Oryctolagus cuniculus: one gene and its partners. The protein of the gene in region 1 purifies or fractionates together with the protein of each later gene. This does not show direct contact. Links are inferred from orthologs where the notes say so. Each region holds a gene or a part of one and is shown on either strand. Other genes may lie near its edges.

Region 1 (4,531 bases):
CACTTCTCTCCCATTCCCTCAAAAGCCCCAATCAATTACATGCAGCCCACACTGACTCAGCGTTTAGGCCGCCTACCTTCCTTCCCTTTCTCTCTTCTCAGCAATGATGCTTCTTGTAGCCAACAAATCTCACCCTTAATCAAAATTTCTTCTCCCCAAGCAATTCAAGAAAGAAAAGCAACTCCACAGAGTTTCTCTGCTGCGTTACTACGACTGCTCTAAGTCGTTCGGGAGCCAGTTGCCATGAGTCAACAGCTCCCACTGGCTCCTGTGGGTGGCATCTCCCCCGCACTTTAACTGAGGAAATCAAAAAGGAGATGCTATTCCAAAAAAGTCTTCCAGTGAGGTAGGTCCATTTCTCCCCCTCACCCCTCACCTCCCACTTTCTTGCCATGGTTCAGGCAAACTCCTTTTCTCTCACCAGGAAAAAACCCCTTACCCAGCACACATTTGATGCCACTCTGGGTTCAGCACTGAGGCCCTCAATCAGACACTGTAGCAGGGGAGCCAAGTAGACATCATTGATGGCAGCTTCAGGAAGCAGTTCACAAATTCTGCCCACAGTCCACGCAGTTGTATCTCGAACAACTACACTTGGGTCTTTCATTAATTCTATGAGGGTGGGCATAGCCTACAAATACAACAGTTATTAGCAAAACAAAACAAAGATTAAGACTCATGTTGACTCTGTCTCTCAATAAATATAAAGTTGGGGCTAGTTTTGTGGCACAACTTAAGCTGCTGTCACCACCACCTAATACCAGCTTCCCATATACAGGCACTGGTTTCAGTCTTGGCTGCTTCACTTCTAATCCATCTCCTTGCTAACGCTCCTGGGAAGGCAGTTGAGGATGGCCCAACTCCTTGGGCCCCTATACCCAGGATGGCTTCAGCCTGGTCCAGAGCCAACTGTTGTGGCCATTTGGGGAGTGAACCAATGGATGAAGATCTCTGTCTCCATCACTGTGGTGTAGCAGATAAAGCCATCTGCGACACTGACATTCCATATGGGTGCTAGTTCAAGTCCTGGCTGCTCCACTTCCCATCTATCTCCCTGCTTATGTGCCTGGGAAAGCAGTGGAGAATGGCCCAAGTGCTCAGGCCCCTGTACCCACATGGGAGACCTGGAAGAAGCTCCTGCCTTTGGAAGGGTTCAGCTCTGGCTGCTGCAGCCAGCTGGGGAGAGAACCAGTGGATGAAGATCTGTCTCTCCTTCTCTGTTAACTCTGTTGTTCACTGGCAGTTGATGCCCACTGGATTTTGAGCACAGGCTTTGCTCCCAATTCCAGCTTCCTTCTAATGCAAACCCTGGGAGGCTCAAGTTCCTAGGTCCCTGCCACCAACGTGGGAGATCTAGACTGAGTTCTCAGTTCCCGGCTTCAGCCTGGAACGTGCCTGTTGCGGACATCTGGGGAGCGAACCAGTGGATGGAAGCTCACGGACTCTCTGCCTCTCAAACAAAAAATAAATCATGCTGATTGCTACTTCAAAACAGGAAATACTGACAAATGGATTTTAACTCAAAATATCCCTGGGGCTGGCGCGTGGCTCACTTGGCTAATTCTCCGCCTGCAGGGCCAGCATCCCACACGGGTGCCGGGTTCTAGTCCCGGCTGCTCCTCTTCCAGTCCAGCTCTCTGCTGTGGCCCGGGAAGGCAGTGGAGGGTGGCCCAGGTCCTTGGGCCCTGCACCCGCATGGGAGACCAGGAGAAGCACCTGGCTCCTGGCTTCGGATCGGCATAGCTCCAGCCATAGCAGCCATTTGGGGGGGTGAACCAACGGAAGGAAGACCTTTCTCTCTCTCTCACTCTCTATAGCTCTACCAAATTAAAAAATGTATATATATATATATATATATATATATCCCTAAAATCTTTTATAAAACACATGCTTGAAACATCTGTCAAAACTAATACAAATAGAGTGAGTTATGAAAGTCCTCCTCCCTTTATCAAACCCCAGTTCCACTTGATGCGGTGTGGGTACTGTCAGCAGGCTGCACTGAACGCTCAGCTTCCAGGATGCAGTTAGGACGGCACCAGGCCACATCCGAAAGCACCAAGTTCTATTACACCACGCAAAAAAACACACTACTTCCATAGGAGATCCTTATTACAGATACCATTCTGCCCAAAGGATGGACTATTAATCCCATCATTAGTTTTGGAAGCAATATCTAACAAAGCTGCAAGGATAAATATCAAGTTGAGAGGGTACCCGGACAAGAGGGATTAAGGGGAAACTTTGTGGCCTTTTCTGCATTTCCAACTTCCTGGGTCATAGGACTTATGCCATTAAAAAAAAAATCCTACTTTGACTTTCTACCCCCAAATTCCTTTAGTTTCACCTGTATAACTAGTGGTTTGAGCTGATTGGGCTCTGGTCCTTCCAAGATACAGCCGAAAGCCATCACTGCTGCATCCCGGTATCGCCAATCCGGGTTCTTGATGTGCTCCTTAATGAAGGGAAGGACGTGGGGGACGATGTCATCTTCACAGCAGGTGGCCAGGAGCATGAGGCACACCCCTGCTGCTTTGCAGGGGTTCCAATCATCATCATCATCATTTTCATCCTGGTGAAAGAACGTGGTGCTAAGAATGATTTTAATTCAAAAGGTTCTCTGACCACTCCAACGTAAACTCCAAGGAAGTATACAACACCAAGCCTTTATATTTGATCTCTTCCACAGTGATACATTACAAAATAAGGGGTAGCGCTGTGGTGTAGCAGGTTAAGCTGCATGGGCAGTATCCCACATGAGGGCCAGTTCAATTACCAGTTGCACCACTTCGGATCCAGCTCTCTGCTAATGCACCTGGGAAGGCAGTGGAAGACCACTCAACTGCTTGGATTCCTGCCATCCACGTGGGAGACCCAAATGGAGTCTGGGCACCTAGCTTCAGCCTGACACCGCCCCCTGGCTGGTGTGGTCATGTGGGGAGTGAACCAGCAGATGGAAGATTTCTTTCAAATGCCTTTCAAAAATACTAAATTACAAATCTTCATACAAGATGCAGATGAAAGATTCTACCTAGTACTACACAAAACAACAGAATGAACAAACTTTGGCTGCATACAACAAACATCAGTCTCAAATATGTATATGGATGGGCTTTGTGGTACAAATTTAGCTGCCATTTGGGACATGTATATCCCATTAGTCAAGTGCTGATTCAAGTCCCAGCAACTCCATTTCCAATGTAATTTCTGCTAAGACACTTGGGGAGGCAGCAGATGATGGCCCAAGAACTTGGGCTTCCTGGTTTTAGCCTGGTCCAGCTCCAGCTGTTGAGGGCATTTGGGGAATGAACCAGCAAACAGAAGACTCCTCCCTCTGTCCCTCTCCTTTTCAAATAAACAAAACTTTAGAGCAGGGGGTTGGCACTGTGGCGCAGCAAGTGAAGCTGCAGCCTGTAGTGTCAGCATCCCATATGGATGCCAATTCAAGACCCGGCTGCTCCACTTGTGATTCAGCTCTCTGCCATGACCTGGGGAAGCAGAAGATGGCTCAAGTGCTTGGGCCCCTGCACCCTCGTGGGAGAGCAAGAAGCTCCTGGCTGCTGGCTTTGCATAGGCACAGCTCTGACCATTGCAGAGCTGTGATTGAAACAGCAGATGGAAGATCTCTCTGCCTCTGCCTTTGAAATAAAAAAAAAAAAAAAAAAAAAAAAAAAAAAAAAAAAAAGCCAGACCAAATAAGCGGAAGGTACATGATTTTGGTCCAAAAATCTACCAAAATTAATCTATGGAATTAAAGGTCAAGAAAGCAAGGGGGTTCACAAGTGGGAAGAATATATGAAAACAGCCTCTGAGGTGCTATTAACAGTCACAATTCAATAAATGTGGGGCCGGTACTGTGGTGCAGCAGGGTAATGCCCTAGCCTAAAGCACCAGCATCCCATATGGGCGCTGGTTCGAGACCCAGCTGCGCCACTTCCAATCCAGCTCTCTGCTATGGCCTGGGAAGGCAGCAGAAGATGGCCCAAGTCCTTGGGCCCCTGCACCCACATGGGAGACCAGAAGAAGCTCCTGGCTTCGGGTTGACACAGCTCTGGCCATTGCAACCATCTAGGGAATGAACCAGTGGATGGAAGACCTCTCTCTCTCTCTCTGCCTCTCCTCTCTGTGTAACTCTGACTTTCAAATAAATAAATAAATAAAAACAATTCAATAAATGTTCATAAACAAAAATCACACAAAAAAGGACTGTATTAGAATCCAAAGTCACAGGGGACGGCATTGTGGTGCAACGGGTTAAGCCACCACCACCTGTAACTATGGCAACCCTCTGAGTACTGGTTTGAGTCCCAGCTGCCCCATTGTCCATCAGCCCCTGGTTGAGGCATCTGAGAAAGCAGCAAAAGATATCCTAAGTACTTGGGCCCCTGCCAATCCATGGAAGACCCAGATGGAGTTCCAGGCCTCTGGCTTAAGACTGGCCCAACCCCAGTTGTAGCCATCTGGGAAGTGAACCAGTGGATAGAAGACCTTTCTATCCCTATCTGTCCAACAAAAAAATTATGACCTCAGG
Region 2 (4,531 bases), on another chromosome or scaffold:
CAGAAAGTGGAGTTTCATTTGGGTCTCCCACATGGGTGGCAGGGCCCCAGCACCTGGCCCATCTCCTCTGCTTTTCCCAGGCCATTAGTAGGGAGAAGGATGGGAAGTGGAGCAGCCAGGACTCAAACCAGTGCTCATAGAGGATACAGATGTCCCAGGCGGTGGCCTTACCTGCTGTGCTACAACACTGGCTCCCGCAAACCCTTTTTCACTAGCTTTCTGTTGCATGGCCTTCCGGTGTTAACATTTTCTCCTTTTTTTCTTTGCAGGAAGCACTCCTACCACCCCAACCTCCTCTCAAGCCCCACAAAAAGTGGATGCCTCAGCAGTTACAACCCCTGCTTCCCTTCCAGCTGCGTCGCCTGCTGCTCCCATCACCACCTTCCATTTGCCTCCTGCTAGTGGGGCCCCTGCCGTGTTCTCCTTTGGTTCTGCATCCTTAAAATTTGCTGCTGCTGCTCCATTTCCCAGTGGCCCTGAGAACCCCAAAGCAACGTTGGGTTCAGGCGTCTCCACCTTCTCTTTCACTCCTCCTTCCAAAACCTCACTAGCCCCCACCCCTGCAGCTTCCCCCATAGCCCCATCTGCTGTTTCATTCTCCTTTGGATCATCGAGTTTTAAGCCTACCCTGGAAAGTACCCCGATGCCGAGTGTGTCTGCTCCAAATGTAGAAATAAAGCCCTCCTTCGCACCCTCAGCATCTGCAGTCAAGACCAACCTTAGTGAAAAGTAAGTCATTTTTCAAGTTTGATTGTTCTGAAGGATGGATAGAAATACTGCATATTATTAGCTGGAAGTAGAGTCACTATGATTGGAGTTACTAGTTGGAGTTACTTTTCTTTCCAAAGGAATTTCCTGCAGATGGTAAAAATCAAACCAACCTAAAGGCTTTGCAGCTCATCAGTGGATCTAGTCCTAACGGGTATTAGATAACATTTGTCTATTTTCAAAAGGCGGAGTGACAGTGGGAGACAGAGAAATCTTCCATCCACTGGTTTACCCTCCAAATGTCCCCAACACTGGGACAGACAGGCCGAAGCCAGGAACCCTATCCGCGTCTCCCGTGAGGACAGGAGGACCCAAATGTTTGGTCCATCATCTGCTGCCTCCTCGGTGCGTTAGTAGGAAGTTGGATTAGGAAGTGTGGTACTCTGGGGCCAGCACTGTGGCGTAGTGGGCAGAGCCACTGCCTGCATCCCTGGCATCCCATATGGGCACCAGCCAGTTTAAGTCCTGGCTGCTTCACTTCCGATCCAGCTCCCTACTAATGTGCCTGGGAAAGCAGGAGAAGGTGGCCCAAATCCTTGGGCCCATGCACCCATAGGGGAGACCAGGAAGGAGCTTCTGGCTTTGACCTGGCCCAGTCCTAGCCATTGTGTCCATTTGGAGAGTGAACCAGAGGGTGAAAGATCTCTTGACTCTCCCTCTCACTCTGTAATTCTGTCTTTCAAATAAATAAAAAATATATCTTTGGGGAAAAAGGAAGGACAGCACTCTGTTGATCTGTGGCATCCTATGAGGCAGCTTAACCTGCTTAAGCATAAAGCCTGCTCCCAGCATGTTAATTTTTTTATTTCTGTGGAGTGATATTTAAATACTTGTTTTGCTCTTTTAGATTACAAAGGAAGTATTTTTTCTTTTTGAAAAATGAACATTTCAGTGTATACATCTTGGAAGGGAAATTAATCCCTCATGTCCACCCTGGACTCTAAACTGTTCTCTGTGCAGCCACCAAAGTGAGCTTGAGAAACTGTGAAGACAGTAGGTGACTGCCCAACCCAGCAGTCCCCGGGGCTTCTGAATGTAGTCCAAGCTCTAGCGTGGTATTCAAGTTCCTACAGGCCTAGGTCCTGCCTGCTCACCTCTTCCCCGCTCCCCCCCGCCCCCTCTCCCTCTCCCTCTCCCTCTCCCTCCCTCTCCCTCCCTCTCCCTCCCTCTCCCTCCCTCTCCCTCCCTCTCCCTCCCTCTCCCACTTCCCTGCTCCCCTCCCTCCCTCCCTCCCTCCCTCCCTCCCTCCCTCTCCCCCCCCCATTCTCCCCACTAGAATGTGAGCTTCTTGAGGGAAGCAGTTGCTCACATCTATCCCTCTTCCCTAGAGAACCTGCTCTCCCTTGCTCTCTCTTGTTGCTTTAGTGAGGTGCTGTGGTGTCCATTGTTAATGTTAGATCAGTATATAACTACTTCATTCTAAAGGTTGCATAGTGCTTCTTTTTGTTGGCTGTACTGTTTATTTGACCAGTCGTCTAATTCCGGGTATTTGGATTGTTTGCAGATGTGTTCTGTCAGTAGAACTGACTTTACGTTCCCACTAGACCCCAAGCATTGCAGACATGATGACCTGCTTTCCCCGTCTACTTTCAGTCCCCAGAGGAGATGATCACCCCTAAAATGAATTCTTAGTAGTTTCTTTGGTAAAAGAGAAGTAGTAAACTCCTCTAAGCATAGCTAAGTCACACCCCCCCCCCCCACTTTTTTACTCCGCCTCATAGAATAGAAACTAAGCAGTTGATGTGATGATAAATTTAATTTCATCTACAAGTTACTTGATGTCTTGGTTGTTCTTAAGTAAGCAGACAATAACAGAAATGTTTCCTTCTAACTAATTTAATAAGAAGTAGTTTATTTTTTTAAAAGATTGATTTATTTATTTGAAAGAGTTACACGTAGAGAGAAGGAGAGACAAAGAGGTCTTCCATCCTCTGGTTCACTACCCAGTTGGCCACAATGGCTGGAGCTGTGCCAACCCGGAGCCAGGAGCCAGGAGCTTCTGGGCCTCCCACGCGGGTGCAGGAGCCCAAAGACCTGGGCCATCTTCCACTGCTTCCCAGGCCATAGCAGAGAGCTGGGTTGGAAATAGAGCAGCCGGTTCTCAAACCGGTGCCCATATGGGATGCCAGCACTGTAGGCAGCGGCATTACCCACTATGCCACAGCACCAGCCCCATAAGAAATAGTTAAAACATTTATGTTTGGTGAAGGCAATAAAGTATGGAGAGGAAGTTACCCTGTGGTAACACTGCTTGCGAGCAGTGTGAAAGATCTGTAGCAGGCTCTTCTGATGCATTCCGGTTACCGTTTTCAGATTTACTGCCTTGGCTACCTCTGCTCCTGTTAATAGCTCCCAGAGCACACCCTCGATGTTGCCGTTCTCTTCCACCTCGAAGCCAGCTGCTTCCGGACCTCTCAGCCTCCCTGCGCCTCTCTCAGCATCATCTGCTTGCTTGTCAGTGAAGCCCTCGGCGTCTCCCTCCCCGTCAGGTATGATTGAAGTCAGCAGCTTCAGGCCTGAGCCCTGCCTCCTCAGAGGAACAGTGCGCAGTGCTCTCAAGAGTCCTGGCTAACGTAGCTGCACGATAGCCGGGCACGATTCTCTCCGGCTCCCGTGTCTCATCCTCAAATGCTGTGACGTGCATGCTGTGAACCGGGAGGTTGGCAGTGCATCACCGCTGCCGGCTGCTTTCTCATGCCTCTCCTGCAGCTCAGGGATTCAAAGCAAGCGTCTTGCTGTTTGACGTTTCTCTTCATGTGGAAGATAAAGTCTGTGTTGTGTTGCTGTAACAGAATACCTGGCACGGGGTGATTCACAGGACCAGAGATTGGGTTAACTTACAGTTCTGGAGACTAGAGAGCATGATGCCAGCAGCGGCCGGGCCGTGGTGAGGGCCCCTGGGTACATCTCAAAATGGCAGAGAAGCGGCAAGGACTCGAGAGTGTAGAGTGGTCCTGCGTTCTAATAACCCGCTCTCTTGAGAACTAGCTAATTTCAGGAGACCAGCATTAATTCCTCCCGAGGGTGGAGCACCCATGAACCAATTACCTTTCCCCAGGCTCTGCCTCTTAAAGGTTCTATCCCCTAACACCATTACACTACACTGGGGACCGCGCTTCCAGCACATGGACCTTTAGGAGACAGACCACATCCAGGCCATCGCAGGGAGGTACAGGTGCACAGAGAGAAAGGGCCTGCACAGACTCTTGAGCTTACTGCTCAGTCAACCCTACCGTGAGCAGAAGCTTCAGAAAGATCATGAATGGGAATGATTATAGGCAGCTTGCATTCAAGTGTCTTGTACAATTCATGGATGCGTGTCCTTGTTCTTTTCCTTTTGGACCTACAGGGAAGTTGCGGAAGTTGTCAGATGCCTTTCACTGAGGTTCAGCACTTGATAACAGTTTGCTCCGTTTGCTGTATCTTTTTTAATGTAAATTTTTTCCTGAAACATTTAGTTGCAGACATCTTGAAATGTTTTGCTCCTAAATACAAGTACATATCTATTAAAAAGGGCACATAGGACGTTACCAGACTCAAGAAATTAAACCCAGTCTGTTACAATAGTCCATGTTTACATCTCCACAGTTGTCTTAACAGTGTTCTTTGTGGCTTTTCCCAGCTCTGTTCCAGTAGCCAATCAGAGCACACGCTGTGTTCTAATTTTGTCCCATTAGTCTTTTTTTTTTTTTTTTAAAGATTTATTTATTTGAAAGGCAGAGTTACACAGAGAGGAAAGGCAGAGAGAGAGAGAGGTCTTCCA
Region 3 (5,219 bases), on another chromosome or scaffold:
TTATTAAAAAAAAAAAGTGATATGTATTCACAAACACACCAAATACACCAAAACTAACAACAGTTACATCCTTGATTGTGTGGGAAGAACAGTTATGTTCCCCTCCCCCTTTCTATCAGTTTCTATATTCTACAACACATATTAATTTTTCATAAAGATTTATTTATTTATTTGAAAGGCAGAGTCACAGAGAGGCAGAGGCAGAGAGACATCCTCCAGCCGCTGGTTTACTCCCCAAATAGCCCCAACGGCCGGATCTGCACTCCAAACCGAAGCCAGGAACCAGGAGCCTCCTCCAGGTCTCCCACGCAGGCACAGGGGCCCAAGGGCTTAGGCCATCCTCCACTGCTTTCCCAGGCCATAGTAGAGAACTGGATCAGAAGAGGAGCAGCTGGGACCTGAACTGGCATCCATATGGGATGCTGGCACTGCAGGCAGTGGCCTTACCCACTACTCCACAGCGCTGGTCCCATATTAATTTTATAATCTAAACAAAAGCATACAAGTTGGGGCTGGCATTGTAGCAGTGAGTGAAGCTGCAACCTGAGACACAGATTCCCATACTGGAGCACCAGTTCAAGTCCCGGCTGCTCCACTTCTGATCCAGCTCCCTGCTAATGGCCTGGGAAGGCAGCGGATGACAAACCAAGTGCTTGGGCCCCTGCCAGCCAGGTGGAAGACCCAGATGGCGTTCTTGGCTCCCAGCAGTGCCCTAGTCCAGACCTCACTATCTACAGACCTGGTGATCAGTGAGTGATGCTCTCTAGCCCGTGCAGACACCAGAAGCAGGTATACCTGCGTTCTGTCCCCAGTTCCTCTACCCACAGCTGTGCTCCTGGGAAGTTATCACCACCTCCTTGAGCCTCAATTTTCCCATGTGCGAAACAGGGATAAAACTTCTACCAAGGAATTCTGACAGGAAACTGAGATACTACTGGCATGGCACTTACTCCTAGCCTGACATGGTGTTCAATAGATGACATTTCATAGCAAATCCGTGCTTCCTGACTGAACTGTGTCTACTCAGACCTGTCTGAGTCATCAGCTGGGGGCACTGGCATGGCCTGAGACACTGTCTGTGCTGAGACGCTTCTGAGTGTTACTAAGAATGCCTGGACCCCCATGAAGCCCTACTCTACCCGGGTTACCAGGACAGCTGGGTAGGAACGGGGTTGATGAGCTCCATCATGATAAAAGCAGCATAGCTTTGGAAGGTTCCAGTCCTGCCCCTGCTCAGTCATCATTAGCCAGCTTTGCAGGGAGCGTAGGTAAGGAATCTAAGCACTTTAAGTTAGGTGGCAATGCAGAAGGTCACTGTACACTCGTTTGGGGCCCGTTCACCTTGTGGCATGAATAAACAATCTGTGAACTGCCAGAAAGAGCAGCACAGGCACAGGGATTCCACAGGACCCCATTAAATCCTGGCTCTGCTACTGACGAGACGCGGGATCTCCGGCAGGCTACCAAGGCCTCCTAAGTCCTTTTTCTTCATTTATAAAAAGGCAATATTTCCACCTGCCTCCCACGGGGATGATGGGAGGATTATCAGTGATGAAAGCACAGGGAGGGGGCTGGCAGTGTGGCTTAGTCACCGCCTACCATGCTGGTATTCCGGCAGACACGAGTTGTGTCCCAGCTGTTCCAGCTCCGATCCAGCTACCTGCTAATAGCCTGGGAAAAGCAACAGAAGATGGCCCAAGTGCTTGGGTCCCTGCCACCCACATGGGAGACCTGGATGAAACATCTGGCTTCTTCCTGGCCCAGTCCTGGCTGTTGCGGCCATCTGGGGAGTGAGCCAGCAGATGGAAGACCTCTCTCTCTGTAACTCTTTAAAATCAATAAATCTTAAAAATAAAGTATAGAAAGAACTGTGGAAACCATACAGCCCCGTAGAGATGTGAGCAGTATGCATCACTACACTCCCAGCAAGCCAAGGTCTCTGGCCCGGGGCAGGGAAGCAAGGCTGCCTACACACCAGGATAACCAGGCAACTCCAGACCAGTTTCCCTGGTTGCACCAGAACAAGAGATCGCAGAAGTACAGACACAGGTGCCTTCACTGCCGACACCAGGGGACTCTGGGTTGGTCATGCCAGCAGACTTGGCCAGAGATGGAAAGATAGGACCTGCATTCCAGTTACTGGTTCTCTGGAGTCTGGTGCTTTCTTGCACACATACACACAAACACACACACACACACACACACACAGAGCAGCAGCAGCAGCACCCATCCCTCTCCCAGGGGCATCTAGCGGCAGGGACCAGAACCTCCCAGGAGGGTCGAGACTATTGTTTTAATTCTGCCCCCCAAGGGCCTTCGCCCTGCCTCCCCCCACGGCAGATATTCCCTGCCATGCCTACGACCTCAGGAGTGAAGCCAGGGAAGTTAAGGCTGTTGGCTCTGAAGCTGCTCATTGTGGCCAGGAAGCCTTCCCATGCTCCTGGGGAAATGAACTAACAGCCTCCCACTAGACTAGGTAGGTCCAGTAACACCGCCCGGGCTACTTGGACAAATAAAGGAGACAGTGCGGCTCAAAGGGCCCACAGTTAGTAAGCGCTCGCCGCACAAGCAGCGCAGGAACTCACCATCCTCTGCAGTGTTGAGTTTGAGACTCTTGCCCTTGAAACTCAGCTGTCCTCCGGCCACCTGGGTTTTGGCCAGGGTCTCTGCTAGTTTGGCGATGTCTTCAGAGGCCATGAGGGCCAAAGTGGCAGGCTCCCCCGGAGATCTGCAAACTGAGAAGCCCCAAGTGGCATTAAAGAAGAGGGATCTCCTGGGAGCCTGGTTGGGGAGGGACAGGAAGGGGCATCAGCCACCTCCTGACCCCACTGGCCCCTGCCACGGGGAACCTAAGAGGTAAACCACTGGGAGGAATGAAAACAGCATTAGAGAAGGCACGGTTCCAGAAAGGTGGAGGCAGCAGGAAAGCAGAAATGTCCAGCGTCAGCCTGGAGGGTCAGCAGCTCCCTAACTCCCTCCTCTGCCAACTGCCCCCACCCCATACCGGGGACACCCACAAAACCAACCCCATGGGAGCCAAGTCCACAGGGTCCACCCAAGCACACACCTGCCTGATCATCCTGGCTGCTCTGTGTCTGAGGGTCCCAGTCCCCAAACAGGACATGGATGTCTATGGGATCCAGGTCATCCATCCCAGGGAATGCCCACCACCCACGCTGGCATGACTAGGGGTGGGGCACAGGGGTCAGCCCACTGCACCTCTGGCTGTAGCCCTGACCAGGAGACTGGGCAAGCCACGGAGGCCTCCCAGGTTCCTAGGAAACCAGAGGACCCTACATCACAACAGCTACCATCACAATAGGCCAATGTACAGAAACAGCAAACTCAAGTTTCTCCAACATTATCCTGACACCAGATGGGCAGGGGTTCCTCCCCACAGAGCACCCAATCACATTTTACCACAGATGTCGGCTAGGTTTGCTCCCACTCAGTTCTGACACTATCTGGAGACACCTGCGACACTGCTCCCCACCTGATGCTAATGCAAGCCCCCGGTAGCTTTACCTGCACTTCTGACTGGGTGGCTGTGAAATAGGTTCCACCAGACAGACTCTCAAACAAGGGCTACACTCACCTATGCTTACCAGTTCAGAGAAGATAAAAAGGATACAAATGATCAGCCTGATGAAGAGATACACGGAACAAGGCACAGGAGAAGGGGGCAGAGTTCCACACCCTCGCTTGCCAGTGCCTTCCTGCCGGGACCACCCTCTACCTGCACAGCTCCCCAGCAGCTCTCCAAAGGCTGCCCTCTGGGTTTCATGGAGGCCCCACAGCACAGGCACGACTGATTAAATCACTGGCCATTGGTGACCAGCTAAACCCACTTCCCAGAGGTTGGGGGTGGGGCTCAACCCTAATCCTGCCTGGGTCTCTCAGGTGACCTGCACCCTCCTGAAGCCACCCAGGATCCCCCAGGCAGTTTTCTGGGCATACAAAAGGCTACAGGACCACCGCCACATCCTGTGTTTGGTTGGGATCGAGTCTTGCCTCTGCTTCCAACCCAGCCTCCTGCTCGTGTGCACCCTGAGAGGCAGCAGGTTTTGGCCCAAGTATTTGGGTTCCTGGCTCTTGCAGGTGTTTGGAGAGTAAACCAGCAGACTGAAGAGATCTCTTTCTCTTTCAAATAAACAAACTTAAAAACTACATAGACGCTTGTCAATTTAGGACGTTAGGTTGAAGGTCCAATTTATATTTTGCACAATCACAGACTGGTACAGTGGTCCACTGCACTTCCCCAGAGAAGAAAGGGCAGGTAGTCTGGGGACCTCAGAAGAGTGACATGGAGGCGAGAACTCGGGGTGCTATCCGCAAGGCCTCCCCCCATCTCCTTCTCAGATTCGGTTGTGACCTCCACCCCAGTCTTCCTCTGGATTCAAATAACCAGCTTCCTACCCCCTCTCCTTATCTAACCCCTCGTCTGCATGCACTGTGTTCATCAGTAAGCCTGAATTACTTCTCTAGGTAAGACAACCAGTCATTCACCACACAGAACTTCCACTGTCTTGACTACTACTGGATACTGGATACTGTTCACGGTTCCAGGAACACAGCAGTAACTGATACAAAAAGAAGCTATGTTCTAAACAGGATACTTAGTATGTCAGACTGGAATAAAAATAAATAAGGGGGAGGGGGGCTCTGACAGTTGCAACTTCAATTAGAAAGGTATCAGGTAAGAAACAATAACCATTTGAAGGCTGTCGGGGAAGAGGCCCAGCATATTGGAGCATTCCCACAAAGGGAGCAGACAGATGGAAGCAGGAGAGGAGAGGAGGGGAGAGTTAACCAAGGGCTCTAAGCATCGTGGCTTTCCCTCCAAGGGGCCCGAGGACCTCCTGGAGGGTCTCCAGCAGAGACCCGACCGGACCAGCGCTTTGACAGCTGCCTAGGGCCCGCCGACGCTCAAGAAATGACGGGACAAAACTGAATAAACTAACGGCGGGGGCGTCCAGACGGGACACGGAACTTCTCGGGGGGTAAGGGGACGACCCTCGGTCCAGGTGGGGAGGGAGGAAGGCACGAGGCACAAGCCGCCCCCTCCCACCCCCAGTCCACTTTAAAGATCAAAACACCGAACCGACCTGCCCAAGGTCGGCACAGGGACTGAGTCCAGAACCGCCCTCTCGCTTCCCGGCAGCAGGGCCGAGACGCCTGGAGGCGCGCATCCACGCGGGCGTGGGCCGGCGGGAGGCGGC
Region 4 (4,531 bases), on another chromosome or scaffold:
AGTTGAGGGCCGCCAGCTGCTTGTGGTACGCGCTCGCCGCGAGGCCGGAGGGCAGCTGCGGGCTGTCGCCATTCGTTTTGGGATTTGCGATCTTCTTATCCAGCAAGGCAGTAGGGCCATTTGCAGTCACAGAACCTACGGAAATTAAAGTTTGAAGAATTTATTTTGAAGGGATTTAATTAAACCATCTGGACTTTATGCTATGCTGTCTTCCTACTTTCTATTTTTGTCAATTTTTGCAATAATGCAAGAAATACATGTTCAAAAAGCAGCAGTATGAACTGATGGTCATAAAGCAAACCACTTTACGGCAGCACGGCATCCACTGCACGGCAGAATGATGCCTCTTGGTTGTAACGATCTTCTCCTCCAACAAGCAGACCTAGTCTCAAGCCACTGTTAGAACAGCATAAAATACAAGCTCTAAAAGTTGTTGAGACACACTAAGGCAGCATTTATACATTAATTATATATTAACATATTAACAGAAAATGCTGTTTCAAAATCACACTAAACATGCTGCTTAAATCTAACGGTACACTGCTCGGAATACAACTAACCTGAATTCGGCCAGTCAGGATCCCTGTAACATTTAACCTACGACGCGCATTCTCTGCTGCTAACCCCGAGAGACCTCAACTAACTTCCTCACAACAGGATGGGGCGGAGGGCGTCGGCACGGCCGCCACGCGCCCCGGGGACTCCTGCATCTCGTACCGCAGTGCCTGGTTGAGCCCCAGCTCTCCACCTGCTGACCCAGCTTCCTGGAGGCAGAGGCTGACGGCCCGAGTTCTTCGGTCACCTACCACCCATGCAGGAGACTGGCTTTGGCCTGGCCCATCTCCAGCTGTTGCAAGCATTTGGGGAATGAACCAGCTGATGGAAGATCTCTTTCAAGTTAATAAATAAATCTTAGAAAAAAAAAATTTTTTTTTGACAGGCAGAGTGGACAGTGAGAAAGAGAGACAGAGAGAAAGGTCTTCCTTTTGCCGCTGGTTCACCTCCAATGGCCGCCACAGCTGGCGCGCTGCGGCCGGCGCACCGCGCTGATTCGAAGGCAGGAGCCAGGTGCTTCTCCTGGTCTCCCGTGGGGTGCAGGGCCCAAGCACTTGGGCCATCCTCCACTGCCCTCCCGGGCCACAGCAGAGAGCTGGCCTGGAAGAGGGGCAACCGGGACAGAATCCGGCGCCCCGACCGGGACTAGAACCCGGTGTGCCGGCGCCGCAAGGCGGAGGATTAGCCTAGTGAGCCACAGCGCCGGCCTTAGAAAAATTTTAAACAGGGCCGGCATCCCGAATCAGAACGCAGACTTGAGTTCTGTTGCTCTGCTTCTGACCCACACCCTGTTAATGCACCTGGGAAAGCAGCAGAAGGCCCCAGTGCGGGGGTCCCTGCCATCCACGTGGGAGACCTGGTTCCAGCCTGGTCCAGCCCTTTGGGAGTGAAGCAGAGGACAGAAGACTCTCGCTGACTCCCCCTCTTACTCTGCGTTCCAAACAAATTAAACCAATCTTTGAAATAAAAGCCTGTGTTCTAGCCACATAACTCTAAGTAGCCAATATCCCCTGAGCTGTATCCCTTTCATTATTACTGTTTTTGCTTAGTCTCAGGACCAGAGTAAGTCCAAGAAAAAAACGTGCATGCAAAGTTGTTTCCAGAGACCAAATTTACAGACACGGCTGGGACAGGGCTGTCTACTTACCAAAGATCGCCTTGGGCTCTGCTGTCTTGGTGCCGGTGAGCGGAGGGGCACTTGTGCTGTTTCCATTGGACAGTCCTTCTAGGGGCTTCCCTCCAGGGCCTCCACCAAAGCCAGAAAACCCTCCTCCTCCAGAAGGCACCACCAAGCCTTTAAATCCTTTAAAGGCCCCTCCAGCATCTGGCTGGAATGGGAAGGGGAGCACACGTCAGCAAGTCTACACCATCACCCAATGAGTGACACTATTCCCCTGGCTAAACAGGATTTAGACTGAGTATGTGTCCTGCATTAGAAGGGTACCTTCTGGCACAAGCAGCCACAAGAAATGAGACACAAAGATTTTATTTTTATTTCTGTAACAGCTAGGGAAAACACTCAGAATTTATGGATACAGGCACTCTTAAAAACCCATTACCTGTGCATATCTAAGACATAGGAGATAAGAGACTAACATAAAGAGTCAAGCACACACCACCCAGATCAGTAACTGAGAACACTCGACACAGCTCAGCCCCTAATGGGAAACTTCTCATGGGCGCAGCAGACTGCCTAATGAGATCCGATACTCCACCATCCACGTTGCCTTCCAGTGGGACCACACACGCCACCATCCACCCCACCATCCGCCTCCCAGTGAGACCACACACCCCACCACCCACCCCACCATCGCCTCCCAGTGAGACCACACACCCCACCACCCACCCCACCATCCGCCTCCCAGTGAGACCACGCACGCCACCATCTATCCCACCATCTGCCTCCCAGTGAGACCACACACCCCACCATCCGCCTCCCAGTGAGACCACACACCCCACCATCAGCCTCCCAGTGAGACCACGCACGCCACCACCCACCCCACCATCCGCCTCCCAGTGAGACCACACACCCCACCACCCACCCCACCATGCGCCTCCCAGTGAGACCGCACACCCCACCATCCGCCTCCCAGTGAGACCACACACCCCACCATCCGCCTCCCAGTGAGACCGCACACCCCACCACCCACCCCACCATCCGCCTCCCATCCGCCTCCCAGTGAGACCGCACACCCCACCACCCACCCCACCATCCGCCTCCCAGTGAGACCACACACCCCACCACCCACCCCACCATCGCCTCCCAGTGAGACCGCACACCCCACCACCCACCCCACCATCCGCCTCCCAGTGAGACCACACACCCCGCCATCCATCCTCCGTGTCTCCCGATGACACTGCACACTCTGCCTTCCACCGCATCTCCTAAGAATGTCAGTGGCTTTCAGTCCACGCCAACTCCACCACGCTCAAATCTCAGATCTAATTCCTGCTAACTGGGCGAGCCAGGGAAACGTCACTCTCCCTCTTGCTGGTCTTTCTGGTAGGTTTCCTACTGCACTAGGCTTGCTCACACCTCCAACCCGACATGTTCTGGGAACGTCTGTGGTTACGCATGAAGTTCGAGCTGCTGCCGCTCAGGACTCTCTAGAGCAGGCTCCTCAGGTTACAGTGCTCATGGACGCACAATTCTTGTAAAATCTTTTCTTCATTCAAAGTAGTACTTACACCACAGAAGATACTCTGCCTCAAGCCAAACACCTGAGAGAGTTCACAAATCCCAAGTTCCCACACAAATGAACTACAACCATGACCTCACCAAAATTCAGTTAAACTGGAACCTCTTCCTAGAGCCAGTCTAAATATTATTAAGTGCCTTTCCAAACACACACAACTTTCAGTGACATCTACAGAATTTCAGACGTTCATTCAAAATTGAAACTCTTGGGGCCGGTGTCTTGGTGCGGAGGGTAAAGTTGCCACCTGCAACACCAGCACCCTGTATGGGCGCCATTCAAGTCCCAGATGCTTCACTCCCCAAACAGCACCCTGCTAATGCCCAGAGTCTAGACCTGCCACCCTGGGGGAGACCTGGAAGAAGCTCTTGGCTTAGGCATGGTCCAGCACCGGCCACTGCAGCCATCTGGGAGTGAACCAGTGGATGGAAGATCTCTGAATTTCAAACAAATCTTTTAAAAAACAAATCTATACACTATTGATTTCTATCATTTTTAAAAAGGTTTGTTTATTTATTTGAAAGTCATAGTTACAGAGAGGAGAGGTAGAGAGAGAGGTCTTCCATCTGGCTCACTCCCCAACTGGCTGCAACGGCCAGAGCTGTGCCGATCCAAAGCCAGGAGCCAGGAACTTCTTGCGGGTCTCCCACGCAGGTGCAGGGGCCCAAGCACTTGGGCCATCTTCTACTGCTTTCACAGGCCACAGCAGAGAGCTGGATTGGAAGTGGAGCAGCCGGGACTGGAACCGGCGCCCATATGGGATGCCAGTGCTTCAGGCCAGGGTGTTACCACTGCGCCACGGCGCCGGCCCCTGATTTCTATCATTTTAAAGAACGATTCGTGGACAGGCTGTCAAATGCAGCAGCCGAGGCCGCGCTGTGGCGTAGCAGGTAAAGCTGGCTGCTCCGGCAGCACTGGCGTCCTCTATGGGTGCCAGCTCGAGTCCCGGCTGCTCCACTTTCGATCCAGGTTCCTGTTAAATGTGCCCTGGGAAAGCAGCAGAAGACAACCCAAATACTTAGGCCCCTGCACCCATGTGGGAGACCCGAAGAAGCTCCTGGCTTCAGCCTGGCTCAGCCCTGGCTGTTGCAGCCCTTTAGGGGAGTGAACAAGCAGATGGGAAATTCTCTCTCTCTCTCTCCCTCTAACTTTGCCTTTCAAATAAGTAAAAAAAAAATTTTTTTTTTTTTGACAGGCAGAGTGGACAGTGAGAGAGACAGAGAAAAAGGTCTTCCTTTTCCGTTGGTTCACCCCCCAAGTGGCTGCTACGGCCAGTGCAC
Region 5 (4,531 bases), on another chromosome or scaffold:
CTGTCGCAGCCAATTGGGGAGTGAACCAATGGATGGAAGACCTTTCTTTCTCTGCCTCTCCTCTCTCTATATAACTTTGCCTTTCAAATAAATAAAGCTAAAAACAAACAAACAAAAACCAGTTCATACATTTTTAGTTAAACGTAGCTGGGGGAAGGGATGGAGGGCTCCAGATGATTCTTTACAGGGTCTTTAACTTATGATTTGTAACAAAGCTATCCAACATGCCTACACAAAACCCCGTAGGAAATGAATGTACTCTACAGAACAGGCTAGGTCTTTCTAGACTAGTCTTCCTTTCTCCCTTGGCTCAAAAAGGAGGCTGATATGACCAACATGAGGACCTAAAGTGCCTTGAAATGAAGAACAAGGTTCCCCTTGGCACAGATCTGAGATGCAATCTTTCTTACTCAAAAAGATACCTAGTTTTTACTTCAGCAATTGGAAAGTACTTTTAGACTTTGTATTTGTCATCTTAAGGGATCAAGTAAGCTATCCCCAAATGACCTGCCACATGGCCGTCCTACAGGTGCCCCAGGTACAAAATGACTGTAATTACTCACGTTAATAAAGGATTCAGGATGGAACAGTTCAAGACGTAATCCCGGCAAACAGAGCTGTCTCCAGCTATGTTTCCCAGTGCCCAGACAGCCTGAAAAGGAAGTGATGAAGCAATCCCTCAGCGCCTGTGGCTTCCATAAGTATTTTATAGACAACCACAGAGTGAGTCCCCATCAGGCTGCCATGTCAAGGCTCAAATCACACGAACCAAGCTCAGGTAACCTCCCTGCTGAAGTCCTTACTGAGCATTTGCTCTTCAAGGACCTCTATGCTCAGAGTCCCTGGTTCAGTGAGGAAGGCGGCTGCCAGCTGTATGACAGACTGAGAAGCCAAAGAGCTCCCCGTTCCCATCCACTCAGACAGAGTTCAGTAAATTGCACTCTTGAAGCTGCCTTGGACCAACTCGTAAATGTAGTAATTTCGACTCGCAACTTCTATACAATCACCAAGAATCCAGTGAGAGAAATGCAAGTTGTATTTTATTGCTATAATCTTTGGGAAATGGTAGTGCAGTGTCTTTCCCGCCCTACTTCTGACACGTAATGCACGTGTGTAGTTTTTCCCATACCAACAACCAATTCTCAGACACTGACTGCTTGTTCAATACTTTAATTTAAATGTGACCCTCACTCCCGAGGTTGAAGCAGATCCCATAGATTAAGGACCCACAGATCACTCCCACGTAACCTGTGCCTCCACTTCAGACACCAATCACAAGTCCCAGAGACTACCTAAACTTTTAACTGACTAGAAAGAAATTTGGGGATTCTTACAGAGAACTCAGAAAACACTACTTGTATGTGGAACAGCCAAATGAAAGAGACACATTAGACAAGGTATAAAGTGAGGAGGGTAGTGTACAGCTTCCATGTTATCTGTCACCTTCCCAGTACATCAATGCGCTCATTAACCCAGAGGCTCTCACCTTCAATAGTTTATAACCCAATCTCCAGATCCCTCCTCTTCCTTGGGAGGCAGTCAGGAGTTCCCACATTCTATGTTTGTATTTTTCTGGTGACCAACCACTGAAAGGCTACCGAGGTTCCCCAAACTGAGTCACTTTGTTAATACAGACTCAGATGTGTTCTAAAAGGGCTCTATAAATAGCAAAAGACATTCCTGTAACTCAGAAAATTCCAATGTTTTTAAGAGCACTGTGTCAAGACTGGGACTAAAACCAAATGTTGGTATTATACTGCAGCTACCATCAAGAATCAAGCCAAGGGGAAGGCGCTGTAGGTTAAGTCTCTGCCTGTGGCACCAGCATCTCATGAATGCAGGTTAAGTCCTAGCTGTTTCACTTCCTATCTAGCTCCCTGCTAATGGCCTGGGAAACCAGTGGAAGATGGCCCAAGTGTTTGGGACCCTGCACCCATGCAGGAGTCCTGGAAGAAGTTTCTGGCTCCTGGCTTCTGATTGGCCCAGCTCTGCCACCGTGGCCACTTGGGGAGTGAATCAGTGGATGGAAGACAGTTCTGTCTATAACTCTGCCTCTCAAATAAATAAATAAATCCTTAAAAAGAAGAACTAAGCCAAATCAGTATTACCTGTTCTTGTACATCCTCAAAGTCCGAGTTAAGCAGCTCTATGAAAATGGGGACGGCCCCTGCTTCAATGACAATTTTGGTTTGCTGGGAGGTTCCAGAGGCAATGTTTGTCAGAGCCCAGGCAGCTTCAAACTGAAAGGTAGATTAAGTCACCATTGAGAGATCATTCCACAGTGTGCAGCCATGTTTACTAGCTGGCTCAGAACAGTAAGCCTCTTGCCCATGAAAAACAAAACAAAACAACAAAACACATAAGCTTTTCCTCTCCCTTCTTTTAAATGGTGAGAAGAGGCAGTGATATGACAACGGGAAGGTGGAATGGTGCTTCCGTGGTCAAATTTTGTACTGTAACAGCATCCCCGGGATCCCCATCATGTCATTTATTTATTTCCTGAGCGTCACAGCCACCTATGAGAAGACTTGGAAGTAGATTAGAGTCTCTGATTTGTAATGGAATGGTGTGTTTGCAATATTCTTATCTTCCTTTGAGTTTTCAAAAAAAAATTGACAGATAACCTTCCATATATAAAAACTGACAGATAACCTTCCATATAAGAATTTGGTGTATGGTAGGAAAAATACCTCTTGCCTACTATATGACACAGTCCTCCAAAGAAATGACAATTAATCTTCCTTAGAAGGGAACCGGTGTCATTCACCCCTTGGGCTATCCTCTCTCCCTTACCATTCTTTATCAGTAAGGGAAAGGAAAACATAACTCAATATATATACTGACGGCGGAATTGTTAAATCTAGCCAATCGGGGCCAGCACTGTGGTGTAGTGGACTAAGCATCTGCCTGCAGCACCAGCATTCCATATGGGCACTGGTTCTAGTCCCTGCTGCTCCTCTTCCGTTCTCCAGCTCTCTGCTATGGTCTAGGAAAGCAGTAGCAGATGGCCTAATGGTTTGGGCCTCTGCACCTGCTTGGGAGACCTGGAAAAAGCTCCTGGCTTTGGATTGGCCCAGTTCCAGACGTTGTGGTCATTTGGGCAGTGAACCAGCAGATGGAAGACCTTTCTTTTTGTCTCTCCCTCTGTCTGTAACTCTACCTATCAAGAAAATAAATAAAAATATTTTTAAAAAATCTAGCCAATTAACAAATGCATTACTCTACATAGTTATTATTGAGAATGTTTTAAGGAAGAGATTTTGTTCTCTTCTTTATATCTTTATAATGTCAAGATCTCTGAGGCAACTGATGCCTTACTTGAAATGTTTCCTCATCTGACTTTTCTATCTCCTGAGAGATATATCTGCAGAAATACCCCATTCCAATTTCTTGGAAAAGGGCTTTATTTGGGAACTCTTTCCCTTGGGGCCTCACCTGTAATGTACAATTTTCATTCCTCTTCAGAAACTCCACAAACCGATCCACTACCCCTGGAGTGTTGATAACTTCATCTATTGGAGGACTAGGCTCTACAAGAGGGAGATGGAAGGAGATAAAAACTGAAGAGAGGCTTTGGTACATCTATTCACTTGTATCAGCTCACGCTTCTTTCTAGACACTTCTAACAAGCATTATAAACATACCCAAACTCCCTTCTGTTCAGGTGGTTTATCAATACCTGCTCAGTTTCTCTTTAAGGATTCATTTATATGAAAGACAAAGAGATTAAAAAAAGACTTTCCATTCATGAGGGCTAGGACTTTTGGTATGGTTTACTATAGCCTCAGGAGCTAGAACTGTGGTATGTGGCAGTTGTTCTATAAAAATTTGGTGTATGGTGGGAAAAACACCTCTTGCCTACTATATGACACAGTCCTCCAAAGAAACGACAATTAATCTTCCTTAGAAGAGAAATATGTAAACCAGTGTCATTCAACCCTTGGGCTATCCTCTCTCCCTTACCATTCTTTGTTTATCAGTAAGGGAAAGGAAAACATAACTCAATTAGGACTGGATTTACCCTTAAGTAGTCCAACTATATCATACAGTTCAAAGATGAATAGGTAGGGGGTGGCTGTTGTGATGGAGTGTGTTAAGCTCCTATGTGGGATGCCCTCATCCCACTTTAAAGTTTTGGCATTGAGTCTTGCCTCAGTTTCCAATCCAGCTTCCTGCTAATGAGCTTGCAAGGTAGCAGATGACGGCCCAAGCAGTTGAGTTCCTGCCACCCATGTAGGAGACCCACATAGAGTTCCTGGCTCCAGGCTTCAGTCTAGCCCAGCTTTAGTTGTTTTGGGAATTTGGGGAATGAACCAGTAGATGGAAGATCTGTCTATCCTTGTTTATCACTCTGCCTCTCAAATAAATAAATACATAAACCTCAAAAAAAAAAAAAAAAAAAAAAAAAAAAAGTAGGATTTGATCACAGAATTGAGGGAGATGCTGCACAGATATTTGGGAGCCAAAGAAGTAAGAGAGAAAATCCAGTATAAAGGTGAAAACATGGGGCCAGTGTTGTGGCAAAGCAAAT
Region 6 (5,267 bases), on another chromosome or scaffold:
AAAAGCCAATGTCATTGAAATGATGGTCCCCAGGGCTGTCTAGGATTTAGCTTCCTATCTTGACTCATTCTTCTCTAGCCCTGGTTACCTACTTGTCTTCTATGGAACATAGTAGGCCCACTTCCATCTCATCCTTTGTAGGCAGGACATAAGGGATATTTTAATAGCATACTGACATGGTTAGATTTGAGAGGACAAGAGTAGAGGCAAAAACAAAAACACACTTTTGTCTGATTCTTTCTTTTCCCAGAATCACAAAAATGACAAATCTGGCTTTTTTCAGTCCAATCCCATTTTTGACGTAGTCATTTAGCTTGAAGACATTTAGAATCTTACGTGTGTCACATTTTACACTGATCCTAGGAAATGATAAAAACTAAAGCTGTGAACAATTAACTTAACACCTCATTTCTGTCTAAGAAACTTCCATCCTTTGCCTTTTGAGATGCTATCTGTATCTTTTTCTAAGTTGATTCTTTTCTTTAGTTGATCGTTTCCTTCCTAATGGCCCTAAATCCTTTTGGACAAACTGTGAATATGAATTCTTTCTACTTTTCTCTAATTTCCACTGGCAAAGTATTCTTCCTCATGGGTTCTTTAATCATTCTATTTTGTTTCTTATCAATTTATCTTTCAACACTTATCTTACCCAAACTCCCAGAAGAACTTTACAATTACTGTAAGACAGTATAAATGATGAAGTCTACAATACTCCGCAACACTCCACAATCTAGCTAGGGACCTTCACAGCCCTTCTCTTAAATAAATTGTCCAGTGATCTCTCAGCTTCCATAAGGGATTGTTCCAAGGCTCCAATGGATAGAAAATGGCATAATATTTGCCTGTAACCTATATACATTTTCCTATATACTTTAAATCACCTCTAGATTACTTATGAACCTAGGACAATGTAAATGCTATGCTACAGTTGTACTGTTTAGAGAATGACAAGAAAAAAAATCTGTACATGTTCAATAATGATGCAATTCTATTTTAACATTTTCAATCCACGGTTCGTTGACTATACAGAAACAAAAACCCTTCTCTGGGAGAAAGGTCTCAAAAATGGAGGGTTGACTATATATTTAGTTGTAGAGGATATCAAGTTACAATGACATTTCAAAACCTCATTCATCTGGCCAGGATTTGTTTTCGTTTTGCTTTTACTCACAGGCATTAAACCACGCTTACTCCACTCCTCAAAGTACTGAAAATCACAACAGACCTTTACTTACTTGGCTTGGCACTGGCCTTTTCTGGAACAAGCGCTTGAGATGACTCATCTAATTCAACGAGAATTCTACCTTCCCAGTTTGGAATGTTGACATCTTTCAAACCAAAATGTCGATTTCGTTCGTATTCCTTATGTCTGTTTTCTTTCTGAGACAGTGATTTCCTATGAGCAATTTTAGTTCTAATCATTTCAGTGCTTAAATCTTTTCTGTGTCGAATGGCAAAATGTGACGAAGACATCCTGTCAGGGAAAAGGGAAATAGAAGCCAACTTACATGAATTTTCATTTTATTATTTAAAAAAATTAAAGAGTCCAGTTCAAATCCTGTCCCACCTGAGAGCCTCCTGAAATAAAAATTCAGACAAGCAGCTCTGGGCTTACCGCAGAACGCACTGCAGAAAGAAGAGTACAAAGTGCAACTGGGAAGAGGGAAAGGAAATGTTAGGTTTGTATACAAAAGTTTCCATAACCTTCCCCTGGGATGAATGTAGGCAGCCTAACATTTCTCAGGGAAAAAAAAAAAAAAACAAAACACTATATGAGATGCCTATAAGACATGCATAGACAGACAACTGGATATTTAAGATTAAAAAAAGAGAAAGATTTTCAGGAAAAAAATTTCCATGGTGATACAGAAGGATAATTCCATTAGTTTGTCCTACTGTCTTCATCCATACAAGAAATCATATTGTTTACTCGGCACATATCTTTTCTTAGAAAGATCCTTGAGAACATACTCAAACAAAACAAGGGAGAAGGACACTAAACATGATGTCATGAGTTCTAACAGACAGTGGGCCCAACTGAGAAGGTTAAAGAAAAGAGGAGAGTTGGAGGGGTCACCTATGTGCTGGTATAGAGCACTACCAAGCTAAACTGGACAAAGAGGGCTGATTCTCCATATTGTTCCACACTCAAAGTAGGGAGGGTCCCCCCCAAAGCAAGCAATCAATCGGCTCTGCAGTGGGTGACTAATTCAATGCAATGCTGATACTGTATTCAACAGTATCACAGGCACACTATATTTTTCAACAAAATTAGCCAAAGCCCACTGGAAAACCTCAAGTAAAAGAAAAACTGGCACAAGAAATGCAATTAAGTTACAATTTAACATTACTGTAAGCATCAACAGAGTATAAGAAATGAGAATCTGAGTGGGATGCTTAATAACATTCTTAAGAACCCAGGAGAAGTGATAATGGACCGTGTTTTTCATCAAGAATTTTCTACTACTTTAAAGAAAAAACGAAGTCTATGATTTGTCTCCTTGTGCAAGTACTAATTCGCTAAATATTAAAAAAAAAAAAAAACCTACAAGGCACGTATTATCTTAAAACACAGAAAAGCACTACCCATAGCAAGAGAAGACGGAGACACGGAGGGAGGGAATACAGGCACACTCATCACAACAACCCTAAAGGCAGTTCCCATCACCGCCCTGGCCCAGCTGAAGGAAATTAACCACCCGCATTCGCATGACTTCCAGGCGGCGGCCGCAAGCCAGGCAGCCGGGCTCCTCACGCGCGTCTGAGGCTGTCGGAGCGGCTGCAGCCCCAAAGTCCAGAAGGCGTTAGTCCTGCCTGCCGGCGGGGTCTCCGCCGGGACCCTGTCAGCCGTCACAGGACCCGGCAGGGCGACTGGACGGAACACCGGGATCCGGGACGCTGAAGACCCCGCGCGGGGAAGACCTGCCCCACCACCCCAGAGGCCAATGACGCCACCCAGGCAACAAACATTCACTATGCCGGGATCACGTCATCCGGCGCGCCAGGTACCGCCGTCCTCCGGGGGCCTTCGCGCGAGCGTCCTCGGACCCTTCTAGAACTCACCGGAAGCCGGCGAGCGTCGTCCCCACCCCGGCCCCACAGTACTCACTGACCTGAGGGCCCTTCTCGTGTGAAGCCTCCGCCAGAGGAAAAGGGACCCACTCGGCCTGCACGACTTCGGTCTTCCCTGAAGCAGGAACACCTTCCTATCCGAGCCTCGGCAAAATTCAAACTTCCCGCACCGAGCTTCTGATTGGAGGGACTTTAACCAATACTTCCGGGAAAGGCGCCCGCCCCTTCCCCTCACAGAGGCTTGCGATTGGTTCGCACCGTGAGATGTTTGAATTGATTGACAGCTAAAGGGACGGTTCCAAGGATGGGAGTGAGGGGAGCAATAGGTGGGGCCGCGGCGCGGGCCGAAGCGGGGCGGGAAGTGTGGAGGCTCTGAGGCTGGGCGGCGGGTGCGGTGGCGGGGCTCCGAGCGGCTCGAGGTGAGGCCGCGCTGGGTGCGGACTGTGGGAATCCGCCGCTGAGGCGCGCGGCGACGCGCGGGTTCTACCGGAAGGGACGTGGGGCCCGCCGCCTCCCGGGTCCAGCATTTGCAGGGCTTTTTGAAGTCCCTGTTTACTCTCAAAAATGCGGCCGAGCTTGTTGGACTGCTAAATGGTCTAGGCTTACCCCAGCAGAGTTCGCCTGCCTGCCAGTCAGCGTCGCCGGCGCGCCTTTTTTTCTTGTCAGTTTTTTTGTGGAAGCAGAAAAGCTTCAGTGAAAAACATCGTGTGTGTGTGTGTGTTGACCATTGTACGAGTTTTGATCGAGGTGCAGCCGTGTCCCCAGCACGTCCTCAGGGTGTGTCCTCTGCCGGCGAAGCGCCCGCACTCCCGGTCCGGTCCGCTTGCCCGCGCTGCCGCCACCACTCCTGACTTTGTCACCATAACGGTGAGGGCAGTGGGGTGGCCATCGGTCTAGGGGCTGCGACCCCTGCATCGCATGTTCGAACCCCAGCTCCTCCAATCCAGCTTTCTGCTAATGCGCACCCTGGGAGGCATCGGCGGTGCCTCAAGTAGTGGGGTCCCTGACACCCACTGGAGAGACCCGGATGGAGTTCCCTGGCTCTGGCTTGAGCGTTTGGGGGGAGTGAAGAGGCGCAGTCGCACAAATAAATATTTTAAGTAAAAATTCTCTATCTAAAAGCATGAAGGTACTAGGGACTGCCTTCCTTCTCAGCATAATGTATTTGGGATTAACTCAGCAGTTTTTATTGAGAAGTATTCTCATTGAATATTCATTCACATACTAATGGACATTTGGGTGGCTTCCACATCGGGGCTATTGAAGTTGTTCTAAATATTTTTGTACAAGTATTTTTGCAGGCGTATTTTGTCATAAATACAGGTGTGGAATTTCTAGGTCATTCTGGTTATGTTTATAATAAATTCCCTAGCTGTTTTCCAAAATGGTTGTACCACTTTGCACTGCCACCATCCGTGTATAAGGGTTACAGTTGTTGCACATACTTTCCAACATTTCCGGTTGTTAGTCAGACTTGAACCTTTCTAATGGGCGTGAAATGATGTCTATTTTAATTTTGCAAGTTTCCCAGTGACTGAGGGTGAGCATCTTTTCATGTGCTTGTTAACTTTATTGTCTTGTTTTGTGAAACATTTTTTCAATGTTTTGCCTATGTTTTTTTTTTTTAAAGATTTATGTATTTATTTGAAAGGCAGAGTGACAGAAAGGCAGAGGCAGAGAGAGAGGTCTTCCATCCACTGGTTCACTCCCCAGATGGCCACAATGGTCAGAGCTGGGCAGATAGGAAGCCAGGAGCCAGGATCTTCTTCCAGATCTCTCATGCTGGTGCAGGGGCCCAAGGACTTGGGCCATCTTCTACTGCTTTCCAGGGCCATAGCTGAGAGCTGGATCGGAAGTGGAGCAGCCAGGACTCGAACTGACGCCCATATGGGATGCTGGCACTGCAAGTGGCAGCTTTATACTTGCTGTGCCACAGTGTTGACCCCTTGGCTATGTTTTTAAAATAGCAGGGCTGGCGCTGTGTTGTAGCAGGTAAAGCTGCCGCCTACAGTGCTAGCATCCCATATGGACGTGGGGCAGCTCTGGCTGCTGTGGCCATCTGGGGAGTGAGCCAGTAGATGGAAGACCTCTCTCTACCTCTCTTTCTCTCTCACTCTCTCTCCCTCTCCCTCTCCCCCTGCCTCTCTGTAACTCTGCCTTTCAAATAAATAAAGAAATCTTTAAAAAAAAATGGG

What was found.
Region 2: the proteins of KPNB1 (region 1) and NUP214 purify together in Homo sapiens (affinity purification with mass spectrometry; 3 studies listed by BioGRID and IntAct, with this or other methods). This does not show direct contact. The link is inferred for Oryctolagus cuniculus from reciprocal best matches to the Homo sapiens genes KPNB1 and NUP214.
Region 3: the proteins of KPNB1 (region 1) and RANGAP1 purify together in Homo sapiens (affinity purification with mass spectrometry; 3 studies listed by BioGRID and IntAct, with this or other methods). This does not show direct contact. The link is inferred for Oryctolagus cuniculus from reciprocal best matches to the Homo sapiens genes KPNB1 and RANGAP1.
Region 4: the proteins of KPNB1 (region 1) and NUP50 purify together in Homo sapiens (affinity purification with mass spectrometry; 4 studies listed by BioGRID and IntAct, counting the BioPlex papers as one, with this or other methods). This does not show direct contact. The link is inferred for Oryctolagus cuniculus from reciprocal best matches to the Homo sapiens genes KPNB1 and NUP50.
Region 5: the proteins of KPNB1 (region 1) and KPNA6 purify together in Homo sapiens (affinity purification with mass spectrometry; 4 studies listed by BioGRID and IntAct, with this or other methods). This does not show direct contact. The link is inferred for Oryctolagus cuniculus from reciprocal best matches to the Homo sapiens genes KPNB1 and KPNA6.
Region 6: the proteins of KPNB1 (region 1) and DLGAP5 purify together in Homo sapiens (affinity purification with mass spectrometry; 4 studies listed by BioGRID and IntAct, with this or other methods). This does not show direct contact. The link is inferred for Oryctolagus cuniculus from reciprocal best matches to the Homo sapiens genes KPNB1 and DLGAP5.

Annotation. Positions count from the first base shown.
Region 1 is NC_091448.1:24,002,418-24,006,948, reverse strand, and holds part of KPNB1 (importin subunit beta-1), read right to left. Parts: intron 2,573-4,531; coding exon 2,348-2,572; intron 632-2,347; coding exon 440-631; intron 1-439.
Region 2 is NC_091432.1:233,685,795-233,690,325, forward strand, and holds part of NUP214 (nuclear pore complex protein Nup214), read left to right. Parts: intron 1-269; coding exon 270-729; intron 730-3,081; coding exon 3,082-3,257; intron 3,258-4,531. UniProt on the Homo sapiens protein: Part of the nuclear pore complex. Has a critical role in nucleocytoplasmic transport.
Region 3 is NC_091442.1:117,338,722-117,343,940, forward strand, and holds the start of RANGAP1 (ran GTPase-activating protein 1), read right to left. Parts: upstream 3,258-5,219; 5' UTR 3,153-3,257; coding exon 3,068-3,152; intron 2,736-3,067; coding exon 2,586-2,735; intron 1-2,585. UniProt on the Homo sapiens protein: GTPase activator for RAN. Converts cytoplasmic GTP-bound RAN to GDP-bound RAN, which is essential for RAN-mediated nuclear import and export. Mediates dissociation of cargo from nuclear export complexes containing XPO1, RAN and RANBP2 after nuclear export.
Region 4 is NC_091442.1:119,924,063-119,928,593, reverse strand, and holds part of NUP50 (nuclear pore complex protein Nup50), read right to left. Parts: intron 1,884-4,531; coding exon 1,703-1,883; intron 136-1,702; coding exon 1-135. UniProt on the Homo sapiens protein: Component of the nuclear pore complex that has a direct role in nuclear protein import. Actively displaces NLSs from importin-alpha, and facilitates disassembly of the importin-alpha:beta-cargo complex and importin recycling.
Region 5 is NC_091438.1:140,292,443-140,296,973, forward strand, and holds part of KPNA6 (importin subunit alpha-7), read right to left. Parts: intron 3,531-4,531; coding exon 3,436-3,530; intron 2,241-3,435; coding exon 2,109-2,240; intron 653-2,108; coding exon 564-652; intron 1-563. UniProt on the Homo sapiens protein: Functions in nuclear protein import as an adapter protein for nuclear receptor KPNB1. Binds specifically and directly to substrates containing either a simple or bipartite NLS motif.
Region 6 is NC_091443.1:21,309,215-21,314,481, reverse strand, and holds the start of DLGAP5 (disks large-associated protein 5), read right to left. Parts: upstream 3,246-5,267; 5' UTR 3,114-3,245; intron 2,960-3,113; exon of another isoform or gene 2,700-2,959; intron 2,698-2,699; exon of another isoform or gene 2,587-2,697; intron 1,657-2,586; exon of another isoform or gene 1,568-1,656; intron 1,475-1,567; 5' UTR 1,474-1,474; coding exon 1,236-1,473; intron 1-1,235. UniProt on the Homo sapiens protein: Potential cell cycle regulator that may play a role in carcinogenesis of cancer cells. Mitotic phosphoprotein regulated by the ubiquitin-proteasome pathway.